Alligator mississippiensis: one gene and its partners. The protein of the gene in region 3 interacts with the protein of the main gene of each other region in a pairwise test. Links are inferred from orthologs where the notes say so. Each region holds a gene or a part of one and is shown on either strand. Other genes may lie near its edges.

The links.
Region 1: the proteins of OSGIN1 (region 3) and CAPN3 interact in binary tests that used the Homo sapiens proteins (3 or more experiments, as listed by UniProt). The two-hybrid records come from large-scale screens. The link is inferred for Alligator mississippiensis from reciprocal best matches to the Homo sapiens genes OSGIN1 and CAPN3.
Region 2: the proteins of OSGIN1 (region 3) and BCAR3 interact in binary tests that used the Homo sapiens proteins (3 or more experiments, as listed by UniProt). The link is inferred for Alligator mississippiensis from reciprocal best matches to the Homo sapiens genes OSGIN1 and BCAR3.

Annotation. Positions count from the first base shown.
Region 1 is NC_081825.1:237,677,769-237,685,698, forward strand, and holds the start of CAPN3 (calpain-3), read right to left. Parts: upstream 3,500-7,930; 5' UTR 3,100-3,499; coding exon 2,809-3,099; intron 1-2,808. UniProt on the Homo sapiens protein: Calcium-regulated non-lysosomal thiol-protease. Proteolytically cleaves CTBP1 at 'His-409'. Mediates, with UTP25, the proteasome-independent degradation of p53/TP53.
Region 2 is NC_081828.1:33,800,881-33,809,181, forward strand, and holds the start of BCAR3 (breast cancer anti-estrogen resistance protein 3), read right to left. Parts: upstream 3,619-8,301; 5' UTR 3,588-3,618; coding exon 3,498-3,587; intron 1-3,497. UniProt on the Homo sapiens protein: Acts as an adapter protein downstream of several growth factor receptors to promote cell proliferation, migration, and redistribution of actin fibers.
Region 3 is NC_081833.1:43,816,095-43,823,898, forward strand, and holds the start of OSGIN1 (oxidative stress-induced growth inhibitor 1), read right to left. Parts: upstream 3,394-7,804; 5' UTR 3,281-3,393; intron 465-3,280; exon of another isoform or gene 330-464; intron 1-329. UniProt on the Homo sapiens protein: Monooxygenase catalytic activity. Involved in regulation of cytokinesis; promotes RHOA activity, probably acting locally at the midbody in late cytokinesis.

The DNA of each region.
Region 1 (7,930 bases), on a different chromosome or scaffold from region 3:
CAGCCAGTGCCTTCAGTACCCTTGGATGGAGCTTATCCAGGCCTGCCGACTTAAATGGATCCAGTTCCTCCAAGTGCCTCTGCACCATCTCCGGGTCTACACTTGGTAGTCTGGCGCCCTGCTGCTGCCTCTCTACAATCCCAGTGAGAGACTTGTCTTGCCCCTCGCTTAGGAACACTGAGGCAAAGAACTCGTTGAGGAGTTCAGCCTTGTCCCCCCTGTCCGTCACCAATTGCTTCTGCCCATTTAGTAGAGGTCCTATTCCACCCTGGGCCTTCCTTTTACTCCCTATATAGCTAAAGAACAATTTTTTGTTATCCTTAACTTGGGATGCCATCCTCAGCTCCATGGTAGCTTTGGCCTGTCTAACTGCCTCCCTACAAGCGTGAGCAGAGGAGGTATACTCCTCTTTAGTAATCTCTCCCTGTTTCCACTTTTTATATGCCCCCCTTTTAGCCCGTAGACTGCTCTGGATTTCTCTGGTCAGCCAAGGAAGCCTCTTGGCCCCTTTCCCCCTTTTCCCCTGCATCGGGATCATCTCCCTCTGTGCCTGAAGGATCATTTCCTTAAGGCACAGCCACCCTTCCTGGGCTCCCATCTCTTTAAAACTCTTCCTCTGCAGTGCGTCCTTGACTAAACGCCTGAGTTCATTGAAATCAGCTTTCCTAAAATCTAGCACTTCCATCCTACTAGTTACCTTACCCACTCGACGTCTTATGGTGAATTCTATTATTTGGTGATCACTGTCCCCCAGGTGACCACCGATCTGTAGGTCTCCTACCATGTCATCCCCCATTGCCAATACCAGATCCAGTAAGGCATTCCCCCTAGTGGGCCCATGTACCTCCTGCGTCAGATGGAGGTCCTGTACACAGGATAGGAACCTGCGTGACTGGCGGGACTTTGCTGTCTGCGTCTCCCAGCAGATGTCTGGGTAGTTTAGGTCTCCTATGACTACCGCCTCCCTTTTGAGTCTTATGGCTCCTGAATGCTTCGTTTGTGCTAACCCAATTATTATACACCTTTTGAAATTGCATCACTGATGACTTCTTAAAGGTGGATCATCAAAGAATGATCTTGGGGATCGGGTTCCAGAAGTCTGATTTTGCCCAGATACCAAAGGCTTGATGTATCGGTGCCTTCTACCTTCTGCAGTCATTTATATCTGTGTAGAGTGGGTACCTTTTCCCATATTACTACTGGCATTTGTGTATATCTCCAGTCACTTTTTTCTCTGACATTCATCCACTATGTTGCTGCCTCAGCCTCCAAAAGGAAGGTAGGAAAGCACATCAGTTGTCAGACATGTCAGTAGGACCTTTTCAAATGCAGTATGTGTATGTATAGAAATCCTGTGCAGTGGACATGTCAGACATTATCTGAAATGTTTTCAACTCATGCCAAAGTAAATTCTTCCTCTTGCAGTGGGAACAAAATTGCTTTAAAAAGGAGGGAACTGCATGGCAGCTGAACCTGATGTAACTGCTTTCTTTGTGCCATAGACCAGTAGTGCTTAATCCTTGGGCTGGATGAGTGGCCTGAGGCTGATCCATGGGGTGGATATTTCCCATGGTTGGGACAATTAACGTTGCCACTGCTCCCCATGCTGCTAAATTACCAACCTTGTGGGGAGACCCATGGGCTGGCCGACATGGCCTTGTAGGCTGGATCTGGCCATTGAACTGGTGGTTGAACCCCCCTGTCATAGACAACTACAGTAAGTGAGGCTGAGCCTCAGTAATAAATCTGATTCAATCAGTAGTAAATTACTGCAATTAACTTAATTTATCACAAGTGAACAGCAGACAGATAAAACATTTGAATTGGCTCAGCAGACACATACTCAGAGGTTGTAAGCCATCCCTGTCCCTCTAAAATAGAGTTAATTGTATGTCTATCCATGCCTTAGTTTTGATTGAATTATCTTATATGTCAAGACTGGTTTTGCTGCAGTCTCTGACCATTAAATTCTGATAAATTGCTTGAGATATAAATCCATACTGCATTTATCCCAGAATGTCTGGGTTACCCCTGTACATCACATGACATCATCTTTTTTTCCTGCCCTTCATTTTGAAGGGTCACTTTTCACTCTGAGGAGAAATGTAATATATTTTTATGGCAATAATTATTAATACCACCCCCTAATTCATGGCAGGCAAATAATAGGATAACAAACTTTGCATTTGAAATAACTGTTGCTTGAAATAAATGATGACAAAAAAATTAAGTAATAGGGTCCCAATTCTGCTCTGTTAGATCCAGTGACAACTTCACTGGATCTGCTGGATCCACTGGCCCTAACTTAGAGTAAAGCTTGTTCCCTTATTTTCACAGTACATAAAAACAGTAGATCAGCATTTATCTATACCTCGTTCTACCTTAGCACTTCCAAAAAGGAATAAGTGCAGCCAAGTGGCTATATGTAATAAAGTAAAATTAAGAATGTCATCAATAAAATAGAAGTGGAAAAAATAAATCTTCATAAGCCCACTTGCCTATGCTAGAGAAAGAGGAGGAGTTAGAACTTGTTTTGACTGGTATCTTCAGATGAGGAAATTCCAAACAAATCAAGACAAGTAAAAGCCAGTTAAAATGCATTAAGAGAAGACTAAAGAACTTCATTCCAATCTCTTGTTGATGTTCAGTTAATTTTTTATACTCTTTCTCTACTTTTCTTTCTCTCTCTCAGCACTTCCCCATCCCTAGAAGGTAATTTTCCAGGCTGGGAAAACAAGTAAAAATACATTTCCTACATGGGTAAGTGAATTCATTATATTTATAAGTTTATGTAGATAAGTTACTCACTCGAGGTCTTTTCCACTCAAACTTGATGGGGAGCTTCTGGCTGTAGAAGAGGGAGCTGTCATTAGGTGGAAAATCGGGATCCTCATACAGAATCTTCTTTTCCAGGCATTTCTTGTGGAGTTCTGCATAGGCTTTTTCCTGTACCTTAATAATGGGCTGGTTTCGACTGATAATAGCAGAGTAGATCCCCCCTGCACCTCCACCTGCTTCAGTGGTTGTATTAACGGTAGCATCAGGAGCTGACCCAGCCTCAGTCTGTTGAGCCACTGCAACATTTACAGCCGACGGCATGGAAATCAAATTGAAACAGATTAACAAAGAAAGAAAAAAAACAGGAAGATCGTGCAACCTGGAAGGAAACTACCCGAAAGAAGAAGTTGTTTAACAGGCAGCTCAGCAAACAGTTCTTTCTCTTTGCAGCAAATACCCGTCAAATTTGAAAATGATGAAGGCTCATGATGTAGAATAATTTATACACCATCTTGAATGACTTCCTGTGGTCATTTTGTTACGAGAAACCAGAAATCCTTCTCTGCCATGAGGCAAGAGAAATTGCGTACCTTTTCTGTTTGTGCTTGGTGTTTTTCTAGCATGTGTGTGCGAGTCCCCTGTGCATGTGAGTGCCCTGTAGAAACAATTTTCATCCAGGAAAACTAAAAATAGCCCCAGGGAGAGAGAGAGGGGTTGTGCAAGAAAGTGTGTGACAGCTTGATGTACAGCTTATTCCTATTTGGGGCTTGCTCCTAGAGGATAGACACAGGTAGGCTGGTTTCTGATGCCATGTAGCTTTTTTTTCTCAAGTCAAAAATGCTGAAACTGTAGTAACAGTCACATATGGATTTAAGAAGTTTAACTTCCTATTATACTTCATACAATTAAGATAGACTCTGATACTGCAAAGATTTATGTAGATACTTAATTTTGCCTAATTGACTTTTGTCTTCAGAAAAAGTAGGTTTTTACACTCAAAAAAACTATTCTGATGTAAAGTAATGGGTAGTTTTTACCTTGGTATTTTTAGTTGAGGGCAACTATATACTCTCCACTTGAGTTAATTTATTCATCTACATCAAGACAGAAACTACAGTGATTTGTCCCTAATAAGATTCTGTATTAAGATAACTATCTACAAAAACACTTTTTTGCAGTGAAGGCATGGCAATAGCTTCAATAGGATTACTTGCAGTGTGTAAGGTTAAACACAATTTTTTTTGTAGGATTGGGGCCTAAATGCAAAGATTTTAGAAAAATAAGTTTTGAGTCTTTAATAACCTAATGTGATACTAATTTGAGATGTTAGTATATTTAGAAGATTATTATGGCATGATAGTTACTCTATATGCCCAAGATTTTATGGCAAAATATAAATTGTATTCATCTGAAAATTTAGATAGTATAGGAGAGATTCAGGTTTGATTAGGGACTGACTGGCTAGGCAGCAGCTCTGCAGAAACAGGCCTAGGTTACAATGGACAATACTGTAAGCTGAATATGAGCCAACAGTGTGTCCTTGTTCCCAAGAAGGCTAATAGTATACTGGGCTGCATTGGTAGGAGTATTGCCAGAAGATCAAGGGAAGTGATTATTCCCCTCTGTTCAGCACCAGTGAGGCCACATCTGGAGTACTGTGTGCTGTTTTGCTTTCTTTCTCACTCCCCTCTCAACTCCCCCTACACACACAAAAAGGATGTGGACAAACTGGAGAAAGTCCAAGGGAGGACAATGAAAATGGCTTAGGGCTCTGGGGTACATGACTTATGAGGAGAGGCTGAGGGAACTGGGCTTATTTAGAGAAGAGAAGACCGAGAGGGGATTTAATAGCAGCCTCCAGCTACCTGAAGGGGGGATCCAGAGGATGGAGCTAGACTGCTCTTAGTGTTGTCAGTAACAGAACAAGGAGCAATAGTCTCAAATTGCAGCAAAGAAAGTTTAGGTTAGATGTTAGGAAAAACTTTCTCATGAGGAGGGTAGTAAAACACTGGAACAGACTATCCATGGAGGTTGTGGAATCTTCATTCTTGGAGGTTTTTAAGACCCAGGTAGACAAAGCATTCACTGGGATAATATAGTTGGGGATGGTTGTGTTTTGAGCAGGGGTTGGACTAGATGACCTCCTGATGCCCCTTCCAACCCTAACTTTCTATGATTTTATGATCACTGAAGGTCCTAGCTGGTCTGTAATCTAATTACTGGAAAAATACATTTGTAGTGACACATGGCTAACATGACAGATTCTGGATTCCCACAATTTCAAAGGAAATAACCTAGCCAAAAACATTCTGCATGACCAGATGTGACATATCAGATTCCCCAAATCATGTTAAATTACATGGCACTGAAAATTCTACTTAAGTGGCTTCTTTATGCTTAGATTTAGTTGGAAAAAGCCATACACCTAGAATTTCCACTGCATGTATGCATGTGGTGACCTCAGCTGGAGCTGTGGGTATCCCCCTGCTCCCTGGATTGGGCCCCCAACTCATCTGCCACGACTTGATGGAATTTGTAACTAAAAGGAGAGGTTCAGTGGTGTTCTCCTTCATCACCTGGAGACGGGAGTACTCACAGACTTGTCGCAGTTAGTCCTGGGGCTCTGCCTCCCCTACACCCCATCCACTCACCAACCGCCAGCTGCATTGGGCTGCTGTGCCAACTCCTGGCTCAGACTCCCCAGCCTCTACTCAAACTGCTGGCTTGTAGCTGCATCCAGCCCTTCACTGCTGCCTCCCTTCTCCTGGCTCTACCCCCAGGCTGGGTCTCTGTCTGCCAGACCTATGGCCGGCTCCAGGCTGGATATGCCCATCCTGGGCTCCAGAGGTGATGGCTGACTCTGAGTCCCTTCCCCTGGGACTAGAGATGTGGACGCCTCGCCCGGCTCCCAACTGCTGCTGCTGCCTGTTCTCAGCAGGGCAGCGTTTTCCGGGAGTCAGCTCTGCCAGGCAACTCTCTAGAGAGCTTGGCGTCTCGCCTCCTGCCTCTCTTCCTGCACCCGGCTTCTGCCAGGGTTTTTAAATCTCCCATGGAGGCGGTCACAGCTGACATCATCAGCTGCCCAGCTTGATTGACAGCTGCTTGAAAAGCCGGTGCAACACCAGCTCGTGCGGCTCCTTCCTGTCCCTGTCCCATCTCTCAGGTAAGTTCTGAGCAGGGCCAGGGTCCCTGAGCCCTCCACCAGGGGTGTTGGGGTCTGTCTCTGGCACTTCTGGACCCTGAGGATGGCCCCTGCCACCACAATGGGAAATGGATTTTTCACATTTGTGAAAAAGGGAACATCTTACACAGTGATAGGCATGCATTGTTCATGTGATAACTGTGCAACTAAATGTATCCTCTTCCAAGAAACTCTGCACCAGAGGTGCTGAATACGTGGGGTCTTGAGGGCCCTGGCCCCCCTCGGGAAGAGGGCTGTCACCTGAAATGCATAAAACTTTCTACATGACCATCATCTTAGGTCCCCCTCAGCCAAAATAAAAGTCAACACCTATACTCTACACAAATCCAAAATAAGCTGTTTTTGGTAGGCACTGTGGCCTAAAGGATTTACGATTGGGTTCCTGGTACTTCGGTTCTCTACCAGGTCAAAAGAGCCCATTATTGGCATTATTAATCCTGGAGGAAATGCCTGATTTTGGGTCCATTTATCTTCTCAATTACACTGTTGTAAATCAGAAATAAATCTACTGATGTTTAAAACTCACATAAGTGAAAGGGATATTAGGCTGTTTGTTTGAAACATGCATTGCTTATTTCTGGTTCTTTGCTAGCTTCAGGCTGTTTAAATGGTAATCTGGATATGTGGAATTGGAAAAGACCTGCAATATCAAGTTTTTCTTTAACCAGGAGGTGTTAAATTACGCAAGAGATCCAGGTTTATAAATGGACTGTGACACAATTGGTCGGTCTATGGTTTCAGTGCATGTATTAATTTTATAACTTGTTAGCACAGCGATTTTTATTCAGTTGTTTCTTAGAACTTCACCCAGATTAAATGCTTTAAATCATATGGATTCAATCCTTGAAAGTATGGAACACCTCTTGAAGATCCAGCAAGACTGTATCACGTATAATTAGTGCAGTACTAATGGGTTTATAACCTCCAAATCTATTAATCCCTCAGCTTGTAGCAGTTGCTGTCTGAACACTGGACTCCCTTTTAGCCGCTCAGTATCAGAAGTACTTAATAAGCTTAAGCAATATAGGGAGAGGAATTTGAAAAAGCTCCAGCTGTCCTTGAAAATCTGAAAGCAGCTGCATCAAGGTGCACTGTCCAGCTGCAGAACTCGTCATTTACTAGGCCTGTGTGAAGCAGCTAGTATTTGCTTCGGATTCGGCTGATTTGGGGGACAGTGATTCGATTCGGTGATTCAAATCACTGTCCTGATTCAATTTGGCCAAGTCTCCGAATCAGCCAGGTGCATGCCCCACAGCCCGCCCCAGCTCCCAGCACTTGAAAAAAAAAAGCTCTGACTCAGCAGGCACTGCCGGGGGGGGGGGGGGGGGGGCAATCCTCACTGCCTCCCACTGCCCCCACTGCCCCCACTGCATGGGGGGCTGTGAGCCCCCTGGCCCCCCCTGCTCCCCCCAGCCCACCATGGATGCCCTGCCTGCCACAGCTCCAGCCCTTTAAGAAAAAAAAACCCAAGAAAACCCCTGGACTCACCACTCCTGCTGGCGGGGGGTGATCCCCACTGCCCTCCGCTGTCCCACACTTCATGGGGGGCTCTGCACAAGTCCCACGAAGCCCGAGGCTGCTGCAGAAGTGGTGAGTCCTGGGGCTTTCCTCCATTTTTTTTCTTAAAGGGCCAAAGCTGGCCCAGGCAGGGCACCCATGGGGGCACTGGGGGAGTGTGGGGGGATCAGGAGGCTCGTGCAGAGCCCCCAGTACAGGGTGGGGCAGTGGACAGCATCAGGGATCACCCCCTACCTGGCAGCACCGGTGAGCCCTGGGGCTTTTCTTTAAAGGGCCGGGAGCTGGGCCGGGCGGGGCAGCCATGGAGGGGCTGGGGGAGTGAGCGGGTGGGGCAGGGGGGCTGGAGGAGCAGGCAGGGGCTGGGGGCTGGCAGGGGTCCCCTGCATGGTCCCCTCTCCCCTCCCCCAGCCCCCTCTCTCCCACCCCAAGTAC
Region 2 (8,301 bases), on a different chromosome or scaffold from region 3:
GCTTTTCAAATTTTTCTATTTCTCTTTGAGATTTCTCTAATTTCAAAGGATAAAAAGGAGTTCTAGTGGTTGTTATCAGGTTAATATATTGATAGAAATGTTAAAATACAGTCTGATGCAGTTCAGTAACAGTTCTTTGTTATTAAACTTTATTTTAATAGTATAATATATAAATTCTGTGAATATATGCCAAGAGTCATAAACAACTTGTTAAAATTCACAAATGGATGCAAGATAATGTCATTTATTTGTTAAAATTTGAAAAAAAAATGTTATCTATTTGTTCTAACTTTACTAAGGGTTCAGGTCATGCTTTAACTCATGGTGTTTTACATAAAGCGCTGCAAATTAGAGCCCCTTCTGAACAACAGACATTTACCCATTGGGTCAGAGGGATTAAGCCTGCCTGCACTGGCCCTTGGTCAGCCAAAAGGTGCTCTCTAGCAGCCTCCAAGGAGGCTGCTCAACTGCACCTCTCCCCATCCTCATTCTCCCTTCTCAGCTCTAGGGCTGTCAACCAGAAGGGAGGGGGAAAGCAGCATGGAGCTGTTGGTTTGCCTGATCTGAGCTGGGGGGTGGAACAGAGCCCCCATGCCTCATAATCCCCCCACCAAGCTACTCTGGCTGGAGTACTAGGGGGAGCTGGATCACACCCAAGAGACAAGGGAGCTCTGTTTCACCCCCTCCTCCAGCTCAGGTTGGGCACAGCAGTCAGCAGCTACTGCTGCCATTTTCAAAAGGCCTGGCTGGAGCTGGGGAAGGGGGGTGCAGGGGAATGGAGCCCTCTTACCTTGCAGGCCCAGCTTGACTCCCCACCAGTACCCAAGATGGGGGAGGGGGGGGTCAGGGCAGGCTTGTGAGAAGAGATCGCTCTGTACCACACTCCCACCCCTCCTCCAGTTCAGGCCACACAAGCTAGCAGCTCTGTGCTGCTGGCTTCCCCCTCCCTCCTGGCTGACAGCCCTGACCCTGCATGAAAAATTAACCCTCAAGGGAACACGAGTTCTCTAGGGTGCACTAAAGCAGAGCACCTTGATCTAATAACAAACTTGACAAGGGTTAATTTTTCATGCAATCAGCCATTTTAAAAGCACTCTGCAGCTGTCCACATGCGTTAGGTCATGGCAGCAGAGCACTTTCAGGGGCCAGATCATGTGAAAAATGTAACTTCTGTCTGCACCCTAAGTGTAACCATTTAGCAATTCTCAAATAGGGTGCCAGGGAACACTAGGGTCCTGTCAGATCCCTTGTGTGCAGGCCAGGAGCGGTCCGAGGCCCTTTTTTCGCGCGGCGGGCTGTGGCCAGCAGCCCGGACATGCCGGGTCGGGGAAGGCAGGCGGCACGCTAGAATTAGGCACGGACGCTTAGTGGTTGATTTAAGAGTATTTTACTTACACCGAAGATGGTCGCGGTGCAGGCAGGAAAACTTGCTTGAGTTGCCGTTACAAAACAAAACAAAACTCGAACCTGCAGAACACGAGGGTACGTCGCAATGGGGTTTCGGCGACGGGAAGATGAACAAAAACCTCGAGAGTACGTTGCAATGGGGTTTCGGCGACGGGAAGATAGACCTGCAGGACTTGAACCCGGGTAGAGCTCTGGATTCACTCACACAAAGTTTGCTAGGCTCCGTGGAACTTGCATGCAGGGAAGGGTATGTCGAGGGATCAGGCGGCGATGGGGAGAGGCGAGAGGCTAATCAGACCCCTATAGCCTTCTTGAGATACACGCTGGGTCCGATAGGCTCTGCAGCGCTTAGAGATCTTCACGAGATGTGAAGTTCTCCTCCTCCTGATAGTTGTGGAGTCCTCCAACTTGGGCGGAAACCGCTCAAGCCTCTTATACGGCTAGCAAGCCAATCGCTGGCCGCCACATAGGAATAATTTAGAACTGGCCAATAGTGGGACGCAAATTTGAATACGAATGGCGGGAACTCCTTGCACCGTGCATTTCTCTTTTTGCAACTAAGAAATACACCCTGCAAAGAAAGCTACAAGTGGCAGGAAATAATTCAGCAGTACCAAAGCACACACAAACAAAAATCACACCCTTGGGTTGTGACACCTTGAAGGGTGCCAGATATAAGGTTTGAGGATATGTAAGAGGTGATAAGATAAGTAGATAAGTACAGGCTCAATCTTGTCCCTGTCTGACCATCCTCTACCCCACTATCTGGCCCCTCTGTAAGTAGGTCAGCACTGTACTATAAATTAGTTTTTGAAATTGGTTGCCAGTCAATTCACAAAAGTTATGAAGGCGTGCCTTGAGTCCAGTGAAGGGTGCCTCAAGCCCAAAAAAGGTTAAGAACCACTGATTTAGTGTTACAAACTGAGAGGCTTTGCTTAGTACAGGACAAATAGACTATACTGCTGCATTTTGGCAAAGTGGCTGTGTTCGCAATAAGTTTTAGCAAACAGTTACAAAATGTGTTTTTGTTCTTTCTACTTTTGTTTGAGATGAAACAAAGCCCTGCTTTCATCTTTCTGTCCTTAGGCCTATCAGGCAAATAACTATATATTGCCTGCTACTAGGAGTAGTTCCATGCACAGTAATTAATGGGACTATTCCTGGTAATAAGCATTACAGTTTACAGAAGCTGATTATAGAAACAGGATCCTGTTTGTGTCTTGCTTAATCACATTACTTAAATTTGAGAAAGAATAGTTTATTTATCCATAAATTATGAAAAATAAAAGCCCCAATCATTTTGTCTTTCAGCCAACAATACACATTGCAAAGAAGTACTAATTTAATAGAATCAGCTCCAACAGTTGTTAGCATGAATGAGTAGACACAAAGCATTACACATTAGACTTTCAAGACCTTAAACCCTAACTCTGCATGGAGATGCATGTAGGACTTCATTGTGTTCACACAAAATTACACACTGTCCTGAATTATCTTTTTTTTTAGTTCCCAGCAGAAGTACTGATAAATAGTTTATATTTGAAAGAATTCAGTTAAGAAATGTATTTGTATTTACTATGAGTATTAAAACCCCAAAGCAAAAAAGGAATATATGCTTCAATAATAGTTTGTTGATCTTTTGGCTAAAATAAAATCAGTTGCAGAGACTAGATAGTGTAAGTGTAATGTTGTAGCTTGCAATGGTCCAGCAATTATGTGAGTTCTTTTGGAATAGGTTAGGTGAAGATCGTTTTTCAGTTTTTCTAAAGTTCTCCTGCATAGTTGTGTCTTTCTCAGAGGCTATGCATTTACAGGAGGTTGGAACTAACATTAAGCTAACAAATCATTTCCATAATTAATTTATATTCTCTTCAATCTTCTTTAAACTCAATTTAAAAATAAAGGATTACTTGGGCAATTCTTTCTTTCTCAAATCCTAACCAGAATTCAGCTGTTCACCTGAGATTTGTGTGTTAATGTAAAGCTCATATTTCTTATTTTCTAACTGTTCCCCTACTACCTCTGAGATTAACTGTGTCAGTCTGATTTGAAACTTTCATGGCAATCTTCCTGAAAATCCATTTTCTTACCTCTACACCATCATACTGCTCATCAAAGAGTGTGCAGTATTCTGTGAGTCCCAGCTGGGTCAGCCAGTTAGAAATCGATAAATGCTTCATCGTCTGTCACTTCCCTAGTCTCACGATGCTTTGACTGCAGAACAAAAATCAGCTTTTAGATCTCGTGTATAGGCAAATACAACATAGTTGCTTATTCAGTGAAACTAGTTAATGAATGATAGATAACAGTGGAAAACTGACAGCATTGAAGGTAGCACATCAGTAGCAAATGGGCTCCTTTGATTATGTAGTACTATTAATTCTAAAGAAATTCAAATGATCAGGTCATTAATGTAGAGTTACTAGTTAATTATGCATTAATAGGGTCATAGTTTGAGGTTTACAGACAGATTCTCAGCAGGCATAAATTAAGTCAATGGGACCATGACAATTTATGTCAATTGAGAATCTGCCCACAAGTCTGCATTTAGTTCACTATTTCATTTGTAACTCTGATGTTACTGGGTGTGTTAAAGGCTCTGTGTGTTTCATTTAGCCTTCATGGTTTTTAAGAAGATGAATGAACAGAGGCCCACAGTGCTATAGTATCAGCTAAAAATGCTCAGTTCTTATATTCATGGAGAATGTTCTTCAATATCCTCATCCAAAAACCATGCCATATTCCCTCCTTAATGTTTAGTAAATTGAATGATAAAATGTATGGGAGGGAGAGAATAGTGAATGGGACACTGATATGTGAATGAATGTGGAGGAAGTGAATGGGACAGAGTGGCTTATAAGGGACAAAGAGTGAATAGGAATTTGTGGTGTGTGTTTATCAGAGACTCACAGACAAGTCAGTCAGTTAGAGAATATCCTATAATTGGGAAACAACATATAAATTGGGCTCTGTTAGAACACTGGCTGAGCTTGATTTTGAACATTCAATAAATGAAATCTTTCTAAGAACTTTTATATTTGTTGGCTTCTTCCTGTAACTAGGGCTCAGCTTTGGTCCTCAGCTACAAGATGCAAGAGCCCATTTCTTAGTTTATCTGCTGGCTCACAAGCTATGCTATTTTAACCTACCACCCACACTGGATATTAAAGGATGCCACTGGGGGGACAACTATGCTGCACTGCCTGCAGTTCATAGTTGATTTTTTGGTTTTGTGGCTGAAGTGAAAACATCAGAACAGATTTTGTGTTTTGATTTGGTGGCTGAAATTAAAGTTAGTTTGGATAATCCTACCTCTCAGGACTATGTCCTAACCAGTACGGCTGTCAGATATTCTTGAGTGAGTCACTGAGCCTCTTCTATTGGAGTCCTTCCCTTTGTAGAAGTAATTAAATATTAATTGAATCAGAGAAATACTTCATGATTATAGCACTGTCCTGGTAGAATGGATCTCTCAGCTTCAGTCCCTATTCTGGACATAGGTGGAATTTGAATCATGGGCTTCCACATGGAGTGTTCAGCTCTTTCTATTATATCAGGGAGCGTCACTCTCCTCTTCAGTTGTGTGAACAGCACCTAAGTCAGCTTTATCTACTCCAAAAAGATCAAACTAACATATTTCAGTAATGCTAGAGTGAACTGTTTGACAACATTTCCATTTTTTCCAGCCAAAATGCATTTTGGCAAAACAGACTGGCTGACCTGCTCCACCGGGCTTTAAACTAAGCCCACTGGGGGACGGGGGGACTACCGCCACTGCTGGCCCGCTGAGCAATCCTTGCAAAGCCAGCGGGTCAAGACACTTAAGGGAGCCCACCCCTGCCCCAGCCCTGGTAAAATCTGTGGGCAAGGAAGGAGCCCCCCAGGGGACACTTGCCTGCCTGTACACAAATGCCAGGAGCTTGGGGAACAAGCAGGAGGAGCTCATCCTCCTGCTCAATGAAAATAATTATGATGTCATAGGGATAACGGAGACCTGGTGGGACTCCACCCATGACTGGACCATGGGTATAGATGGCTATACCCTGTACAGGAGGGATCATGTAGAGAAAAGGGGCAGGGGTGTAGCTCTCTATGTTAAGGAAAGCTACACGTCCCTGCAAGCCGATATTGGCGACCAGGATGGATGACTGGAGACCCTCTGTGTTAAAATCTGTGGGGAACACGGCACAGGGGACACAATGGTGGGAGTCTACTACAGACCTCCCACCCAAAGTCCTGAGCTTGACCAGGAGTTTGCCCGGGAACTGGCTGAAGCCGCATGCTCCAGGACCATGGTTGTCATGGGTGACTTCAATTACCCAGACATCTCGTGGGAGGATCGCTCAGCAAAATCTGAGTGGTCGCAAAATTTCCTCTTGTGCATGGATGACCTCTACCTGACTCAAGAAGTCTATGGGCCAACAAGAGGCAAAGCGGTGCTCGACCTGGTACTGGCTACTGGGGATGACCTAGTCGGCGACCTAGTGATCGATGGGAAGCTGGGTGACAGTGACCATGAGCTGATCACCTTCACCATCTGCCGAAAAGCTGGCAAGTCAGTCAGCAACACGGAAGTCCTTGACTTCAGGAAAGCCGACTTTGACAAGCTCAGGAGGCTTGTCAGTGAGGCCCTAAGGGACCATGACCACAGGGAGAGGGGAGTTCAAGAAGAGTGGTTGCTCCTCAAGGGAGCGATCCTCAATGCACAAACTAAGTCTATTCCATCTCGGAGGAAAGGCAGCAAGAGGGCACAGCAGCCCCCCTGGCTCTCCAGGGACCTAGCAGACCTCCTGAGGCTAAAAAGAAAGGCCTACAAAGGATGGAGGATGGGAGTCACCTCCAAGGAGGATTATTCTGCACTGGTCCGGTCCTGTAGGGAGCATACCAGGAAAGCCAAGGCTGCAACTGAACTCCAACTAGCTTTGAGCATCAAGGACAATAAAAAGTCCTTTTTCAGATATGTGGGGAGCCGAAGGAAAAGCAGGGGCAACATTGGACCCCTGCTGAACCAGATGGGGCAACTGACAACTGATGCCCAGGAAAAAGCCAACCTATTAAATAGGTACTTTGCATCGGTCTTTCATCAGTCTCATGGCACGCCCATGCCCGCTATGGGACAGGGAAGTCCGGGTGAGGGTGATCCCCTGCCCTCCATTAATGCTGACTTCGTGAAGGAACATCTTGAGAAGCTGGATACTTTCAAGTCAGCTGGCCCTGACAATCTTCACCCCAGGGTACTCAAGGAGCTGGCGAGCATCATAGCCCAGCCTCTAGCACAGATCTTTGAAAACTCTTGGCGCTCTGGTGTAGTGCCCGAAGACTGGAAGAAGGCCAATGTGGTGCCTATCTTCAAGAAAGGGAGGAAAGTGGATCCGGCTAACTATAGGCCCATCAGCCTGACTTCTATCCCGGGGAAGATCTTAGAAAAGTTTATTAAAGAGGCCATCCTTAATGGACTGGCCGATGCCAACATCTTAAGGGATAGCCAGCATGGGTTTGTTGCGGGTAGATCTTGCTTGACCAATCTCATTTCCTTCTATGACCAGGTGACCTATCACCTGGACAAGGGAGAAGAGATTGATGTCATATATCTTGACTTCAAAAAAGCCTTTGATCTGGTTTCCCATGATCACCTCTTGGTGAAATTGGCCAATTGTCGCCTTGGGTCCTCCACGATCCACTGGCTGGAAAACTGGCTCCGGGGTCGGACCCAGAGGGTAGTAATTGATGGAAGTCACTCATCATGGTGTCCTGTGACCAGTGGGGTCCCCCAAGGCTCTGTCCTTGGACCCATACTGTTCAACATCTTCATTAATGATGTGGACACTGGAGTCAGAAGTGGACTGGCCAAGTTCGCCAATGACACCAAACTTTGGGGCAAAGCATCCACATCAGAAGACAGGCGGGTGATCCAGGCTGACCTGGACAGGCTCAGCAAGTGGGTGGACAAGAATCTGATGGTGTTCAACGCCGATAAATGCAAAGTTCTCCACCTTGGGAAGAAAAACTTGCAGCATCCTTATAGGCTTGGCAGTGCTATGTTGGCTGGCACTATGGAAGAAAGAGACTTGGGGGTCATCATTGACCACAAGATGAACACGAGCCTGCAATGCGATGCTGCGGCTAGTAAAGCGACCAAAACACTGGCTTGCATCCATAGATGCTTCTCAAGCAAATCCTGGGATGTCATTCTCCCCTTGTACTCGGCCTTAGTGAGGCCGCAACTGGAGTACTGCGTCCAGTTTTGGGCTCCACAATTCAAAAAGGATGTGGAGAAGCTTGAAAGAGTCCAGAGAAGAGCCGTGCGCATGATCAGAGGTCAGGGAAGCAGACACTACAATGACAGGCTGGGAGCCCTGGGGCTCTTTAGCCTGGAAAAGCGCAGGCTCAGGGGTGATCTGATGGCCACCTACAAGTTTATCAGGGGTGACCACCAGTATCTGGGGGAACGTTTGTTCACCAGAGCGCCCCAAGGGATGACGACTAGGTCGAATGGTCATAAACTACTGCAAGACCGTTTCAGGCTGGACATAAGGAAGAATTTCTTTACTGTCTGAGCCCCCAAGGTCTGGAACAGCCTGCCATCGGAGGTGGTTCAAGCGCCTACATTGAACACCTTCAAGAGCAAACTGGATGCTTATCTTGCTGGGATCCTATGACCCCAGCTGACTTCCTGCCCTTTGGGCAGGGGGCTGGACTCGATGATCTTCCGAGGTCCCTTCCAGCCCTAATGTCTATGAAATCTATTAAACTGTTTGTCAAAAATAAATATTCTACTCAGGAGCACTCTTTCCTCATCAGCATCCAAAATGGCATTCTATCTGGCTCAGCCCTCTGTAGAGAGCCTCCAGTTATTATCACTCCTGTACTGCAACTTGTTGTGTCATCGTCTCA
Region 3 (7,804 bases):
CATTCTGATGGACATTTCTTCCAAGTTAGAAAGGCATTTACTGGAAATGGATACGTTTCCCTGCTTCTGCTTGTTCTGTGGATAAGCAAGCAACTTCCATTTTCAAGACTATCAGCCTGCAATAATGTACAGTACTTGTTACTGCCTATATATTTTTGGTAATTACATACATGAAATGAAGGTCAGTAAATGTTGAGTCTTTGGCCATGATCCAAAGACCACTGAAATCAATAGGAATCTTCCCACTGGATCAGGCATTCAATGTACTAACTATTCCTGTGTGACAGAGCACCTTTTCAGTGTCTGTCACTTTAAGGGTTGGGAGCAGGCAGCAGGAAAGTGCAGGCCAGCCTTGATGAGGCAGCCATTTTAGGCCCTTGCTCTCAGGGCTGGGGCAGCAGTCTGCTGCTGGCAGCCAGAGCAACAATACCCAGCTGAGCCCCTGCTCCTGGAACATCTTGGAGGTAAGGGCAGGAGCTATGGGGATGGTAGGAGGCTCCTGGCCCTGGGTACAACTTGAAACTGTACCCTGCTGGGGATGGGTAGCTTGATGGGACTCACTGTGGCAAGGGAGCCCTCAAGAAATACCAGGCCAGTACCTCCCTGGTGAAAGGCAGGCGAGGCACCTTAACCCCAGCATCCACCATCTGGTGGGTTATTGTGAGAACAGGGAAAGCCAGGCACACTTACACAAAAGCACCTGAGGCCTACAGGTGTGTAGGACCCTGGAATGGTGGGCCAGGTAGAGGCCCCCCAAGCCTACAGGGGTGTAAGACCTCAGGCCCTATTGAGAGGGCAGAGTAGTGGACCAGGTATGCTAGGTTGAGGAACCTGAGCCTACAGGAGTGAAAGACCCCAGAGCCCCAGCAAAAGGGGCAGAGTTTTGGCCACAAGGAGGGGGCAGAAATGATGCATTGCCCAGTGAGGGGCTAGGGGCAGTCAGCCCGGAGTAGGGCTGATCGAGTGGTTACCACTCGGATGACAGCCAAAGAAGGGACCCAAAAGGATGAGCCAGGGCTACTCAAGGAGTGCAAGGAGAAGCCCGAAAGCCTCTTGGAGCCGTTCAAGGGAGGAGAGAGGGAGAGGGAGGGGGAGACTCAGGATCAGGCAGTGCGACAAGCTCGGTGAGCGTGAGCAGAGTGTCAGATGCCCCAGTGAGAGGGGGTGGCAGAGTGAGTGAGGCCTAAGTCTGAGCTTGACCTAGCTGCAAGCCAGATCTATTGAACAAACTGGATGACATCTGCGAGTTGAGACACAATAAAAAGGAGGTCAGTCATGTGAGAACCACCCTTTGGCAGCAGGGCACTCAAAGGGCAGCCTCCCACCTAGTAACATCTGGATTATTTAACAAAGCATGGCAGGTGAGTAAGGTGGGTGGCTTGCCAACAGACAGGTGGGCAGACCAGCACTGTGATTTGGCCTGGGAGTTTGCCTCCTCTCACACCCTGATTTTACAAATATCAGGAGTTTTCTACCTTGGCAAAAAGGAAGGATTAAAAGGAGCTTTATTTTAGTGAGGAAGTGCCATGCAAGGGCAATGGGATGAATCGTATCTTCTGGAGGATGCATCCTGGCAAAATCCTAGTTGTTTACCAGTAAAGGAGTAAAACAATAGAATGCCGGTTAACACAGCTTTTGCTTTTTTTATCATAGTACTGGTGAGTGTGGACAACTGGATTATGCATCTGGGCTGGGAGGTCTTAGAATGTTATAAGACTATTGTAAACATTCAGTAAATAGTATCTGTACAGAAAGGTCTATGCCACCCTAGTCTAAGGGGGGAAAACAAAACAAAAAAAACAAAAAACACCAACACAAAACTAACTAGTCTCCTTATTTTCCTTTATGGAAAAAGAGCTCCTTTCAACCCTTTGTTTCAAGCATAGTGCTATGACTAACATTATTTCCTCTATGTCTGGCAAATGTTTTGTATATGATGCAAGTCATTTTGGACCCAGTTCACAAAAATATGAGATTATCACCCCCTGTCAGAGAGGTGACTTTAGGTCAGTAACAGTAAGGAAACTTATGAGAAGAGATATTGAACCCAGCAATTTCCCAAGTTCCTCACTACTGTATTCTGCAGGTAGATGACTTCAAGAAGTCCCTTCCAGCCTCAAATTCCTATGATCCCATGATGTTGCATTGGTGACCCAGGACAGGGGTTACAACTGCTGCAAGTTTGAGGCATTTGCCAAAAAAAGAAAGCTATCAATACCACATGAAAAGGGCTGTCCTGCACTACCCTGCATGGCCCTCTTCTCCTTCCTACTCATGTGGATTGCTAAGGTCCTGTGTGCTCACTGGCTACTCCAATCTTCCTTTTTCTCATAGGGGCAGGAAGGGAAAGTTAGTTGCACAGAAAGTACAGATTTTCACTGGTTCCTGTGGAAAGCCAGCTGCTAAAAGCAGCTTGCTCTAGTCTGTCCCCCCCCCCCCAAGAGTTTCAATGCTCCCCTAAACAAAGCCAAAGAATCCAAACATTAGAGTTTCTCAGACAAATTCCTATGGGTACACAATGGGGGAAGACAAGGTGTCAGAGATGCTGCTCTTCTATATTCCTTTTGGAGCTATTCTGTCTATTTTAACTCTTGTCACGGCGTGGGGTCCCCAAGGATGGCCGTGACATCCCTAGGGTTCCTTGACCATGCCAATTCTGCCCCATGGGCACCCTCTTTTTGGACTGCCACATCTTGCTGGTAATACTAGTAAAATCAGGAGGCTGCCTTCTAGTTTGTGTTGGGGACACGGTCTTGATGGACCCCACTGAACCCTGTGGGTTCTTAGACCTCTTTTGGGTCCTGCTTCAAAATGGATGCCTCATGGGACAGCCTCAGCCTTATGGGCTAGATGCATGGCTCCAAAATCACCCTTTTACCACACCCCAAGCCTCACAGCTGGTATTCACACCAGGTCACATCTGAGGCCCTAGACTAGCTAGGTCTCTGGTAATTGCCAGGCTCTCTGCAGCCCTGTCTCCCTGCCCACACTAGCACCAGGCTCTCTGGAGCCCTGTCTCCACACCCCACATTGGCACCAGGGCCTGTTCACCCCCTTGTTGCTGCGCCCTTCTCTGGTGCTGGGGTTCCTACACCATAGTGGGCCCCCAGTGGGGCCTCCTCCTTCCTCAATAGCCTCAGCCCAATCCACCGGTGTTTATAAACAGCAACTAAAATATGACTCCCTGGGCTATAACATAAGATAAGCAGTTCAGGGCATGCTCTATCCCTTTAAGAAGTCAAACTTTCCCCAGTACTAAATGCCTTGTAGGCTAGGGTACCTGTTGAGCTTCTGGAGCCCCATATGCAGCATATCAGGCAGTCACTGCATCCCTGGGCAATTCTTCCCTAGAGGCTCCTTCTCCTTGGCTGCTGCTAGAGAACTAACTCCTACTAGTCTCAACCCTGGGGCTTATATGTGCCCAGGGCCCTGCCTTCTTCCAGTCAGCTGACCGGGTACAGATGCAGGCTAATTCCCCCGTTAGTCTGTCTCCATAGTAACCTGCACCTGTGGGGCTTCTGTCTGGCTCCTAGGGCCCTCTCCCTAGGCAGTTTCTGCTCTTAAAGGAGCAGGCACCTTAGTGCCCTGTGGCACACTCCTTTGCGCCTCTTTACACCATCAGTGGGAGGGAAGTCTATCCTTCCCAGACTGGGAATTTAATTTTGGGAAACATTCTTAATTTTAATGTGGGATAAGAATAGCTCCTTGCTATCTTTACCACAGCTTCATCAGCTAGTTGAAAGGTTTGTTTCCCCCCTTCCCCATCAAAAAATATCCTTTTCTCAAAAATGATTTTTTTTTTAAAACATAATCAAACTAAATTATTTTCTGGTTTCTTATTCTGTCCTTCTCCCTTTTCAGTGTCTAAAAGAAAAGGAACTAAATAAAAAAAAATCTGACAATTGAATTTTCTTCTAAAAAAAAAAAAAACCAAACCCTCACTCCTTTTGGAAAACTTCAAAGTGAACATTTTCAAAAATTGTGAAATACATTTGATTTTCAACCCCTTCCTATTCATATCTCCCAGTCATTAATGATTAAACTTGAAAAGAAAGTCAATTTACCTGACTGAAAAATCCATTCCAGAATGCGTGAACCTCACCCAGGTTTCACTACCTCATGCTTTCAAGAGTGCTTTCAAAGTCTGGGTATACTTTATTGGGCTCATAAAATGATCACTTGAACCTTGCCTAGTTTAGGGCACAGGCAGAAGTGACAATTTTCACCCAATCTGGCCAAAGAAAGTGGTCTATAGTCATGACCAAACACAAATTCAGAACTGCAGACCACTTCAAAAATTGGATGAGGGGTCAGATGAAGACATTTCTAAATACAGCATTTTTCCTAACGTCTGTCTACAGTGTGTGTTGCTGTCTTCAGAATGGGAGTACAGGCAGTTTGGTCTGAGGTTTTTTCAGCCCCTGCAGGAGGCTGGGGTGAGTGTATTGGAGCCCCCCAAGGTTATACCCCTAGAACAAGCTCCCTTTCCTCCCTCCCATTCTGAAACAGAGACAGGCCGAGAGAAGAGGGGCTGTTGCTAGGGGAAACTGGCTGCAGGCTCCCAGCCAGTGGCTAGATCCTCCCTGGAACAAATAGTGAACTTCTGTTTGGTCCAGGGCATTGTTGTAACTCTCTGAACTGCTTCCTGCAAAGTGTTCTCAGTTACAGCAGTCTGAGCCCACAGTGTAATATTGACCTCTCTTTTTCACAGTCCCTTCCCCTCAGGTGTGCAGTGTAGTATTTTTCTTTACACGTGCTTCCTCCAACCTATCAGCATATCATCTTTAGGAATTTAGAAGAGAGTTTTGCTTATCTCAGAAAGGAACTGGGGGAGCACAAAGCAATAAGTCTGTGTGAAGCTTCAGTCCCTGATTCGATTCAGCAGAGATTTGGCCAGATTAAGTGGCCAAATCTCTGAATCAGAATCAAATCAGAGGACCCGTTAATCTCTCTGAATCAAATTGGAACCCTCCGAATTGATTCGGAGATGTGGACATCCAGACATAGAGACAGCTTTAAATGTTTTTTCTACATATCTCTAGGTAGCAGGTGGCTTGTGAATGCTGCAATGCTGAGGTGCATGGAGTGTCCCACAAAAGCACAGGGTGCTCCCCAGCACATTCAGCAGCAGATCCGGAAGTGGACCAGAAGCACTTCCAGTCTACTTCCGGGTCCTCCGGGGAGCATGCGGGGGGGCCCCCTCCATGCCCCCCAGCTCAGCAACTAGTGTCTCCTGGGTCTGGGGGGCTACCCAGGGTCCCCCTGTGGCCAATCGCCGAACTGGGGGGGAATGCATTGGGTGGGGGGAAGGCCCTGTGCACTCCCTGGTGGACCCAGAAGTGGACCAGAAGTACTTCTGGTCCACTTCTGGGTTCACTGCCAAGCATGTGGAGGGCTCCCCAACACTCCTGTGGGCCGCTCCATCCACCCCAACATTGAAGCATTCACGAGCCATGCTGGTACCTCAAGGTATGTAGAAAAACTATTTAAAGCTGCGTCTATGTCTGAATCGCTGATTCTCTGAATCAGCATCAAATCTTCAGATTTAGATTTGGGAGAATCGAATCGGGGACAGTGATCCAAATCAACGAATCGAATCACTGTCCCTGAATAGGGCCTGCATCACACACTCCTACAAGGCAACATGTTTCTAGAGAGCCTAGATTCTTTTTTGACACATTTGGAAGGAATATAAAGACATTCTCAATTTGTTACTGTCTGATTTGACAGGTTCCTTTTTCTCATGCCCTTATTACACCATGGAGAAAGGTTTCAGAATCTGGTTGGATGCTACTGGGTGTGTCTACACATTCATTAATGAACCTTAGATACTGTGCATTTAGTTTACTACTTCCTTAATAAAGGACTAACTAAATACCTAAAGTTACTGTGAATTAGCGCTGGCGCACAGTTATTTAGTGATGCTTACTGTGCATTAACTTAATAACACTGCGTAGCAGGCTATTAGCATGTTTTTTGCCATGACATGCTGTGCACTGTTATTAGGCCAATGCTCAGTAAGCATATCGTGTAGATAGAACTCTATGAAAAGTTTCATCCTGATCCAAGTGGACTTTTCACCTTACAGTTTTTCATGTGAACACTGAGTGGACAGAACTGCCCACAAGCACATGTTTTAATACAAATCAAAGATAAACAAGTGAACATGACAGGGCTAGTTTCCATTCTGGGTTGAAATAAGTTTAAATAACCTTTCCCATAATCCTGGCTCAGTCACCACTGGTTCCACATGTCTGTCAGCAGTTAAAGCTATTGCTATAATTTTAGTTAAAATGTTACTAAAACTTTTGTTTTGTTTTTGTTTTTTCAATCAATAAAAGCTATATCCTTTTCCTCACCTCCTTTAGTATGGCCATAGGTACAGTATTACACAAAGAATATGTACCTCTAAAACAAAGGCCAAGCAGCTTGGGGAAATGGTCCTTTGAAAAGAACACAACCTCTATAATTATTTTAAGTCAGATACACTACATTTGTATGCACCTTGTACTAGCATATGATAAGTGAAATCCAGATGGTTAATTAGTTATCTTTCCAAAGTCTAAAAACACTTTAATATCACTAATCGGCGTATAAGTGCCAACTGAAGTTGAGATCTGTTTTATGTCCTTATTTTTTTGCATGAATCAACATGGGAATGTTATTTACTGTCCAAAATGCAAGGGAGATAATTGATTCCAGACCAATGTACCATGCAAAAGCAATAAAGCCTTGTCTTCTGATTTGAAATCATCATTTTATAAGACCAGTGTCCTTTTTCAAACCAAATTGAAAGTTATGTACTAAGAATGTGATAATCTTGGGGGAAAAAGGTTATCCAAAAAACCCTGTCCACACACGTGTGGACATGTCCTATCCGACCATAGACTCCTGGGCTGCCTATACGTGCTGTAACTACAGTGCATCGGAGCAGATTCGATTAATTGAGTTTGTTGAAGCATGGTGTCATGACCCAAAGGTCTGATTTTTTGTGTGTGCTTTGGCACTAAGAATTATCCCCGTGGGTTTACAGCTTCATTGCACGGAGGAGTTCTGCTGCGCAGAGGACCAGCGTGCAAAGGAGTGTTCCCGCCACTTTGCAGCAGTCTTTGCAGGGTGCATTTCCTTTGCAACACAGAAATGCACGGTGCAAAGAGTTCCCGTTTGTTGTATGCAAATTTGTGCCCCGCAATTGGCTAGTTCTAAATTATTCACACGTGGCGGCTAGCCGTATAAGAGGCTTGAGCAGTTTCCGCCCAAGCCGAAGAGGACTCCACATCCATCTTGTGGGGACTCTGGGTGTACGCGGCAGGGTAATAGAAACCCTGTGTGTTGCCCAGAGGAGTTTGGCGGCCTGATCCACCGCCCACCTCTTCCCGTCTTCGAACGGAGCCTACTATAAGACGTATCAACGAGTTTTATGCACGCTTGTCCTGGACATCCAGAGTTCTGTCTGCGTGGAGCCTAGCAAACTCCACGTGATTGTTCGTGTTCTGTCTGCGTGGAGCCTAGCAAACTCCACGTGTGTTCGTGTTTTCTGTTGTAACCGCAACTCAAGCAAGTTCTCAGCCTGCACCGCGACCATCTCGGTGTAAGTAAACAATCTTAAAATCAACTGTTACATGTCTGTGCCTAATTCTAGCTTGGCACCCGCCCTCTCCGACCCAGCCTGCCCGGGCTGCTGGCCACAGCTCGCGTGCAGAGCGACGAAAAGGGCCCGGGGTCTGACCCAGCCCGCACATGGCGATGAGGATGGGATTGGGAGAGGGCTCGCTAGAGTTAGAATTAGTTGAGAACTGCCCTT